Arabidopsis thaliana: one gene and its partner. The protein of the gene in region 1 interacts with the protein of each later gene in a pairwise test. Each region holds a gene or a part of one and is shown on either strand. Other genes may lie near its edges.

What was found.
Region 2: the proteins of EMB3135 (region 1) and AT1G64820 interact in a protein complementation assay, tested with the Arabidopsis thaliana proteins (one large-scale study listed by BioGRID).

What each region holds. Positions count from the first base shown.
Region 1 is NC_003076.8:3,829,231-3,833,978, reverse strand, and holds EMB3135 (harpin-induced protein), read right to left. Parts: upstream 2,480-4,748; 5' UTR 2,210-2,479; coding exon 1,346-2,209; 3' UTR 828-1,345; downstream 1-827. Other genes in the region: AT5G11880 (Pyridoxal-dependent decarboxylase family protein), read left to right, coding at 4,037-4,539, 4,644-4,748.
Region 2 is NC_003070.9:24,086,623-24,091,329, forward strand, and holds AT1G64820 (MATE efflux family protein), read left to right. Parts: upstream 1-1,982; coding exon 1,983-2,779; intron 2,780-2,912; coding exon 2,913-2,999; intron 3,000-3,077; coding exon 3,078-3,134; intron 3,135-3,223; coding exon 3,224-3,462; intron 3,463-3,534; coding exon 3,535-3,740; intron 3,741-3,813; coding exon 3,814-3,936; downstream 3,937-4,707. Other genes in the region: APO1 (APO RNA-binding protein (DUF794)), read left to right, coding at 188-361, 446-1,654; AT1G64830 (Eukaryotic aspartyl protease family protein), read right to left, coding at 4,649-4,707.

The DNA of each region.
Region 1 (4,748 bases):
GTCGGAAAACCAAACAGTGAAGAAAAGTGAAAAAGGCTTAGGACATGTGTTGGGCTTCTAATTTCATTGCCAAACGACTAATCTTTTTGATATTTTGGGTAAATGGGTTCTATTTGGGCCTCGGTTTTTTACTATCATCTTCTTCGATTATGGGCTATTTTCACAAAATCTAAGAGATATGCCATAGTTATTCTTGAAATACATTGCCAAATATTTTCATTAAAGGTCTCAGAAAGTCAGAATTATACTATGCATGTCTTCTTCTATCACGTCCGTGTATGCAAGTCTTCTTTACCCATTTTATTGTCTTGTCTTTCTTTTTGGTTTGTACTTTACTTTGTACTGGATATCCGGTCACCGACTCAAATATATGCCGACGTTGGAGGTCATGCACTAAATTAGATATGATGACTTATTGTCATTTCCAAATTATTCATTTACGTCATAAACCAAACTACAAGTTTTTCTTTTTCAGTCACACCTCATACGTTATTGTCAACTTTTTTTCCTGCGGTTCTTCTTTGCCGTTTCGGGTAATGCCATTTGTCCCTTGGGCAGATTCCTTTTCCTCATTTTTGGACACACCGACATGAAGTCGTCGTCCATAGTTGGATAAGATTTCAGGAGTCTATCCCTGGTCGGAGTCACTTGCAAATGACCTCTTCAAACTTTTACTTACTTAGTTAATAAAAAGTTTCTTAGATAAATGAACCATATAATTCATCTTTTATGACAGCATGACATTTAATTTAATGTTTATATCAAACCATATTCATGAATTGAGTGATCGATCTGTATTAATTTTATAACATGCAACTGCTAGAATATATGCTTGCTTTATAGAGTACTAAAGACGATTCACGTTTCTCTTAAATGGTGTTGTATAATGCGATAGATGGTTCAACATCTAACATTTAACACATCTCTCGTGTTCTTCATTGTTCTCCTCACAAACCCCACGCATCTTTTCCATTTTTAAGGTTCTGTTTATTACTACTACGATCTCACTTTAATGCTCACTATCACGCAGTCACTGCAATCTCCAGCTTTTTAGTACTCCATTCGTTACAAGTATTACATTTATATTTCTGTATCCATTAAATATAAATTCAAGTAAGAAAGTTCCAAACAAAACAAAAATCCAAGAAATTTTTTTAGAAGCCGTGAATTCTCTGGCCTTCTTCTACTTGACAATACCTTATCTCTCTGACTCTTCTCTGAAATTTTTTAACTAACAACTGAAGAAATCTCCTTTTGGATCATTCCAAAAGTTTCACAAAATCCAGAAGAAAAAAAGAAGAAGATTATATAGAAAATTTCAATTGTGAAATTATCAAAATTCCCTCTAGAAACTCCATTTCCAGACCTTGACACTAAGATCAGACTTACACTTAGTTTTTTTAGAAGTAGCTACAATTGGAGTTTTACCTTTTGGTATAGTTCCTTCAAATCCTTCACATGTCACTTTGATCTCTACTCCTTCACTCTTCAGCTTCCCCATTATCATCTTCACTTTAGTTCTCATCTCGATCTCATATCCTACACGCGCGCGCGTCAGATCTGATCTCAGATGCTTAGCTTCATCCGGATCTAACTCACGCGCCGCTGTAGACGTAGCGATCACGCCGTGAAACGAAGTTTTGTTACCGTTATCGCTGAAGAAAGCAGGAACAGTTCCGTTACCGAGCATCGTACCGGATTTAGCTGAATTAACGGTGACGGTGAAAGGATCGTAAGAGAAAGAGAGGTGTTGGTTTGGATTCTCTGAGATTAGAGTGAAGTTGAAGAAGGAAGAGAGATGAGAGACGGAGGAATCAGAGGAGGTTGTTAGGTTCACGCGGCTGATTCTTATTGACGGGACGGAGAACGACGGCGGACGAGGGTGGTAGATCACGTACATCGCGGTGGCGGCGATTGCAGTCATGAGAGCTAAGATCAGAATTATCAGAATCGACCAGAAACAGCAACAACAGCAAATTCGTCGGCAGCTTGGTCGAGATTGGTGGTGATGACGGCGACTGTAAGGCTGTGGACGGTAAACCGGACGGTTAGCTGGAATGTAGACTTGAGGTTTCTGATTAGCCATTCCGTTTGTTGTTCCGTTGCTGGTTACAGTCGCCGGAGCTGGAGGAGGTGGTATGGAACCAACTGGTGGAGCTCCATTAGTGGCGGTTGGTGGTTTGGAAGCTGGGAAGACTCGGTCAGTCATCTTCTTCTTCTCCGGTTGTTTCTTTCTCTCTGGTCAGATCTGAGCTCACAAAAGAGAGAGAGATAGTGAGAGAGAAAGAGACAATACAGAGTTTTTGTGGAATCTTAATAGCTTTTTTTTCTGAGTTTATTTATTTATTGCTTTTTAATAATTTGTTTTTTTTTCGGTTTTCAGTTTTTCTTAGATTTTTGTGAATGTTCATGACTTCCATGCCAAGTCTGTGGAATCTTTTTATTGGGTGGTAAAATAATTAATGTAAGCTGATTTATTACTTACAAAGTGGCCCCATTTATTTCTGAAAAAATTATTTACACGTGTAGTATTTTAGTAACGAGTAATACTAAGATGTGTCCTGTGTACTCAAATTTTTCTTGTTTTCAGAATTTAGTAATTCACAATAGAGTATAATGTAATCAAATGAAGAAGAAGAATGGGCAAAAAAGAGTAACAATTAAAGATGTAATTAAATATCAAAATGACGGAAATAATAATCCACCGACACATATAGTGATAGTGGTAGTAGTTCACTAAAGTGTGCACGCAATTGAAATAAGTTTGAATTTAAGTCAGTGCAGGTTAAAAAAAGAGGAAATAATTAAATGAGTGCAGATATTGGAGTATTAATAGATTAGGGATCCGAAATTAAAAATATAATTAGAATAATCTCGATTTGGTTCAGACTTCAGAGAGTAAATCCCAAGTCAATAATTATTTCATCGGCAATGCTGCTCTGCTTTGAATTTTGTTAATAACCTTTGCTTCCGAGCTCTCAATTCCCAAGATTTAGCGTGATTAATAATTCAAGAGCTCTCTAACTATGTAGTATAGTTACCAATTATCACCCGGTCAAGTGTCCACACCATAAAGTCTTTAAAAAAATAAAAATAAATAACACTCAAGATCGATCACATTTCATTAAAAGATAACTGCATTACAGAGAAGCATTGTCGGAAACATCCACAAGTGGTTCCAACCAGCAAGGTACATAAACATCAACAATGGAAACATAAAGGGCAAAACATTGAGCCTACTTCACCAAACCATAAAAGTGTCTAGACATCCCAATAACTTATGGTAAAGTTTGTTTTTAACGTCTTACAGTCAAACACCTAAATATACATCCCACAACCATCGACATGAATGCAATTACATACATAGTCAGAGATTATATAGTATGACGAGAGAAGCAAAGTTGTAAGAATAAAACAAATCCTAACTTACAAAGGAGGCAGAGCACAAATAACCAGAAGCAATGGTTGCCAAACAAAACAAATCCTAACTAAGAACATTCCTTGCTCTTTGTAATAGATATAGATAATTAAGAGAGTATGATAAGCATAACTTCAACAAATGTGGATTCTAAAACATAACTTCTCCACAACGTGCACGGCTAGATAGAGCACTTCATCGTTAGCATTCAACAAAATGTTTTACATTATCCTCTGAATATCCGCATAATACGAACAAATAGAAGTATTGGTAGGTGATGAGAAATGGCAAATTTTTATAGATAGGGCTAGATTTCCATGACTGCTTTAGGTGACCCCTTAAGCATCAAGATTATTACAACACACAACTAACACAACCGAACAAAACAAACACTAGCAGAAACTATCCCCCAAGGACAAAAACCATATCCAAAAGAAGTTAAAATCGACTTTGTTCTTTCTTCTTTTAACCATCGGTTCGACTATAACCACCGGTTCGATATTGTCGGATATCTAAAACCGGACCCGACAGGAACTACTCTTAAACTTGTTGACTTTTTTTTTCTAAACCCTTCAGTGTTACTGTAACAGTCGCACACCTAACAAAAATCCTCCAGCCATGGCGGCAGTTACTCAATTTCTCTCCCAACCTTCATCAATCCGCGGAACCCTAAATCAGTACCAATTGAATCAGACTTCACTCTCAAGAATCCCATTTTTGTCTCTCAAGTCAACATTGAAGCCACTTAAACGCCTCTCCGTCAAAGCCGCCGTTTCCCAAAACTCCACCAAAACCCTCACGAAAGAATCTGCTTCCTCTTTCGACCACTGTTTCAAGAAATCATCAGATGGGTTTCTCTATTGCGAAGGAACCAAGGTTCAAGATATCATGGAAACAGTCGAGAAACGACCCTTTTACTTATATAGCAAACCTCAGATCACGAGAAACCTTGAGGCTTATAAAGAGGCTTTGGAAGGAGTGAGATCTGTTATTGGTTACGCTATTAAAGCTAATAACAATCTCAAGATTTTGGAGCATTTGAGGAGTTTGGGCTGTGGTGCTGTGTTGGTTAGTGGAAATGAGCTCAGGCTTGCTCTTCTTGCTGGTTTCGATCCCACAAAGTACGATTCTTTATCCCCAATAATAAAGTTTGAATATTTTTTTATTTGGTCTCATGTTGATGTGTAGTTTTTGACCATGTCTTCGGTGTGGATGAAATGAATAGGTGTATTTTCAATGGAAATGGAAAGTCTTTGGAAGATTTAGTTCTAGCTGCTCAAGAAGGTGTTTTCGTAAATGTTGATAGTGAGTTTGACTTGAATAACATTGT
Region 2 (4,707 bases), on another chromosome or scaffold:
CTTAAAACTCCAGTTCACCGACGAACAACGAAGTATCGTGGAATCCATTTCATGGGCCGAAGATTTCTCACTTCTCTTCAGTGTATAACTTCTCTAGTTCTCTGTGTTCTTGTATATATGCACACCCCATGTTCGATGAAATTACGAAACCATGTAATCGTTATCAAATCCTCATCTATTTTCTTAAATGTTGCAGGAATCTGGGAAAGTAATCGTTTTTGGCTTAATTCTGATTTGGGTTCTTACTTATATAGTCAACATGCTTCTGGTTTCTCCTGCTTGTAGAGGTGTTTATCTTCAGACCATAGATCCAAAGCCAATTGATTTCTCAGCTAGAGCCTCTTATGCACTTTGCTTTCAGGTAACCATTTCATCTCCTGTAACTTTGATCTTGTTGATTCCTATCTTGAAGTTGTAAAGTTTGGATTTTTCTTCTTTTATGTAGATTCCTACTTCAATCCCTAAAAGAGAGTGTTTGATGAGGTTAGGAACGGTCTTTTGTTTTAATCAGAAGCATAGAGAGCAGACAAGTTTTAAGAAACGGTATGTATCTACGCAGAATGTGGATCTTCCTCCTATTTTACCAAAGAACAAGAAGAAACCTTATCCTATTCCTTTTAAGCAAATCCAAGAAGAGGCTAGGAAAGATAAGAAACTTGCTCAGATGGGTATAGAGAAACAGTTGGATCCTCCTAAAAATGGATTGCTAGTTCCCAATCTTGTTCCTGTGGCTGATCAAGTGATAGATAACTGGAAGTTGTTGATCAAGGGTTTAGCACAGCTTCTTCATGTTGTTCCCGTCTTTGCTTGTAGTGAATGTGGAGCGGTTCATGTGGCTAATGTTGGTCATAACATTAGGGATTGTAATGGTCCAACGAATTCACAGCGACGTGGTTCTCATTCTTGGGTTAAGGGTACCATTAACGATGTTCTTATTCCTGTTGAGTCGTACCACATGTATGACCCTTTCGGGCGGCGGATTAAGCATGAAACACGGTTTGAGTATGAAAGAATCCCAGCACTTGTTGAGCTATGTATTCAAGCTGGAGTTGAGATCCCTGAGTATCCTTGTCGCAGAAGGACACAGCCAATCAGAATGATGGGGAAGAGAGTGATCGATCGAGGTGGATATCATAAAGAGCCTGAAAAGCCTCAGACATCATCATCATTATCATCTCCATTAGCCGAGCTTGATACTCTTGGTGTTTTTGAAAGGTATCCACCTCCCACTCCAGAGGATATACCTAAGATAGCACAGGAAACAATGGATGCTTATGAGAAAGTGAGATTGGGGGTGACGAAATTAATGAGGAAATTCACAGTGAAAGCATGCGGATATTGTTCTGAAGTGCATGTAGGACCATGGGGACATAGTGTAAAGCTGTGCGGAGAGTTCAAGCACCAATGGAGAGATGGGAAGCACGGATGGCAAGATGCTCTTGTGGACGAAGTCTTTCCTCCAAACTATGTATGGCATGTGAGAGACCTTAAGGGAAATCCGCTTACCGGAAACCTCAGAAGGTTTTATGGTAAAGCCCCTGCTTTGGTTGAGATTTGTATGCACAGTGGAGCTCGGGTTCCTCAACGCTATAAGGCCATGATGAGGCTTGACATCATTGTTCCTGATTCACAGGAAGCCGACATGGTCGCATAAGTCCTTGGAAATGTTCAAAGTAGAACTCCTTTGTTAGGATAAAGAAGCTGAAAATAAAATGAGCTGGCTAGCTAGGATCTTTCCTCGTAGGAGACATTAGAAATCTTGTCATATAGTGTATTTTGCAATTTGGGTGTAAAATATTTTAGAAATCTTGTCATATAGAAATATTTTAGATATTTGTTTGATTCTCTATCATTGACAACTAACCCGGTCACTGGTAATTATAATGGAGACGACTTCAGTGGTATTTGTTTAAATTATTTCTTTGTCTTGAAAGATTCTAAAGATGTTTTGATCCAACGAGTTTTTGCTGAAAAACTGAATGATGGAAACGGATTTCTCGTTGGTGCGTAAGGAGGAGGAAGAAGAAGAAGATAACAGGAATGGGATGAGTTATTTGTCAATGGAGATGATGAAGAAGGTGAGCTCCATGGCGGCTCCAATGGTGGCAGTTTCGGTTTCTCAATTCCTCCTTCAAGTCATCTCCATGGTTATGGCTGGTCATTTGGACGAGCTCTCGCTCTCAGCTGTCGCAATTGCCACTTCCCTCACCAATGTCACTGGTTTCAGCCTCATCGTTGGGTTTGCAGGTGCGTTAGACACTCTTTGCGGTCAAGCTTTTGGAGCAGAACAATTTGGAAAAATTGGTGCATACACTTACAGCTCAATGCTCTGTCTTCTCGTTTTCTGTTTTTCAATCTCTATCGTATGGTTTTTCATGGACAAGCTCTTGGAGATTTTCCATCAAGATCCTCTCATCTCTCAATTAGCTTGCAGATACTCAATCTGGCTCATACCGGCTTTATTCGGATTCACTCTTCTTCAACCTATGACTCGGTATTTCCAGTCACAAGGAATAACTCTTCCTCTCTTCGTGAGCTCTCTTGGAGCTCTTTGTTTTCACATTCCTTTCTGTTGGCTTCTTGTCTATAAACTGAAATTTGGAATAGTTGGCGCCGCTTTGTCCATCGGTTTTTCATATTGGCTCAACGTATTTTTGCTTTGGATTTTCATGAGATACTCTGCTTTGCATCGTGAAATGAAGAATCTTGGTTTGCAAGAACTCATCTCGAGCATGAAGCAGTTCATCGCCCTCGCGATCCCCTCTGCAATGATGATATGGTAATTTACATATCTACATCCAAAAAAAACAAATCTCAGCAAGATTTAAAAGCTTCTTGGTCTGACTCTGATCTACAATGAATCCATAATTTTTTTTGTTCTTTGTTCTTTCTTTTTTTGTGTGTAAGTAAAGCCTGGAATGGTGGTCGTTTGAGATTCTACTACTAATGTCTGGACTCTTACCAAACTCAAAGCTCGAAACATCGGTGATATCCATTTGGTACATACATATCATTTTGTAAAATAATTCAAACAGTCAAAAAGCTTGTGATATTCCTAACTTCTATTCATGGAACAGCCTCACAACATCGGCTGTGCATTTCGTTCTGGTGAATGCGATAGGAGCATCCGCAAGGTTTTATAGATTTCAATTGTTCACAAGAATCTGATTTTTTCATGTAACATAGTATCTCTTAACCTATTTTATCCTGTTTAACACTATAGCACACATGTCTCAAACGAGCTAGGAGCTGGAAATCATAGGGCAGCTCGAGCCGCGGTTAATTCTGCCATTTTCCTTGGTGGTGTTGGTGCATTAATAACAACCATCACACTTTACAGTTACCGAAAAAGTTGGGGTTATGTATTCAGCAACGAGAGAGAAGTGGTTCGCTACGCAACCCAAATCACACCCATTCTCTGCCTATCCATTTTCGTTAACAGCTTTCTCGCCGTGCTCTCAGGTAAGACGATTATACTTTGTTTCTTGAACCCCAAGAAAGTAGGTTCAAATCAAGAATTCTTTCATATTTCAGGGGTTGCCAGAGGATCAGGGTGGCAACGTATAGGAGGTTATGCAAGCTTAGGATCATATTATCTTGTCGGAATCCCGTTAGGATGGTTCTTGTGTTTTGTCATGAAATTGAGAGGGAAAGGACTTTGGATTGGTATACTCATAGCCTCCACTATCCAACTCATTGTTTTTGCTCTTGTCACCTTCTTCACCAATTGGGAACAAGAGGTATATAAATTACTAATCATTTTACTTCTAGTTACGGTTACAGTTTTGAATCTGGTTTTGGTTTGTGTTTCAGGCAACGAAAGCTAGAGACAGAGTATTCGAGATGACACCTCAAGTCAAAGGCAACCAAAAAACACAAATTATAGTAGAAGAGGATACACAAGTTTTACTTAATCATATTGCAGAAACTGTGTAAAAGTGTAAAACCACTTAATGCAACTCTATTGGTCTCCTTCGTTTTAGCATCTAATTACTACTCTTGGATGCTTTACATTTGCATGATGTGTGATTTTAAAATTCTATGATCGATGCGTCTTGAGAATATAGATTCTTATTTCAAGTTTGTCAGGGCACACACTACCCATTTCACTTTAGAAGAATTTGGAATCCAATTTTATGCACATAAACTAACAGAGGTCACCTAAAACCATTTGCCTAAAGATAGATGCGAAGTTATGAATTCCTTAAATACAGAAAATTTGAAAGTTTGGATGTATTTGTTTCATTAAACACCATACGAAAACTATCATAAGTTGAAACGATACATAAAAGATCAACATGGTCACTCGTAAGAAATTAGACTTACAAATTGAGTAGTCTAATCTTTTTTTTTTTTTAGACTATCATATTTTTACTATTTTTATTAGAATTTGTTTTATTTCTCACGAATAACTCTTTCTCTATATAAATTCTAAAAGTATTAAATCTTCAACATCTATGCATGATATATGTGTTTGTAAACGTTAAATAAAAATGATAATGCAAACATAGTCGCTACACGCTAACACAAACACTAAAAATTTAAGACCAGTTTTATTATAGGTATGTAGCATGTACTTCAGGAGAAAAATACACTATTCTTAAGAAATAAATTGGGTAGTATAATAAGAATAAGAAGGTTTAGTGAGCTACATTTGAGAGCAATCCGTTTTCTTAAACGACACAGTTCCAGAAACAGTGTCGTATC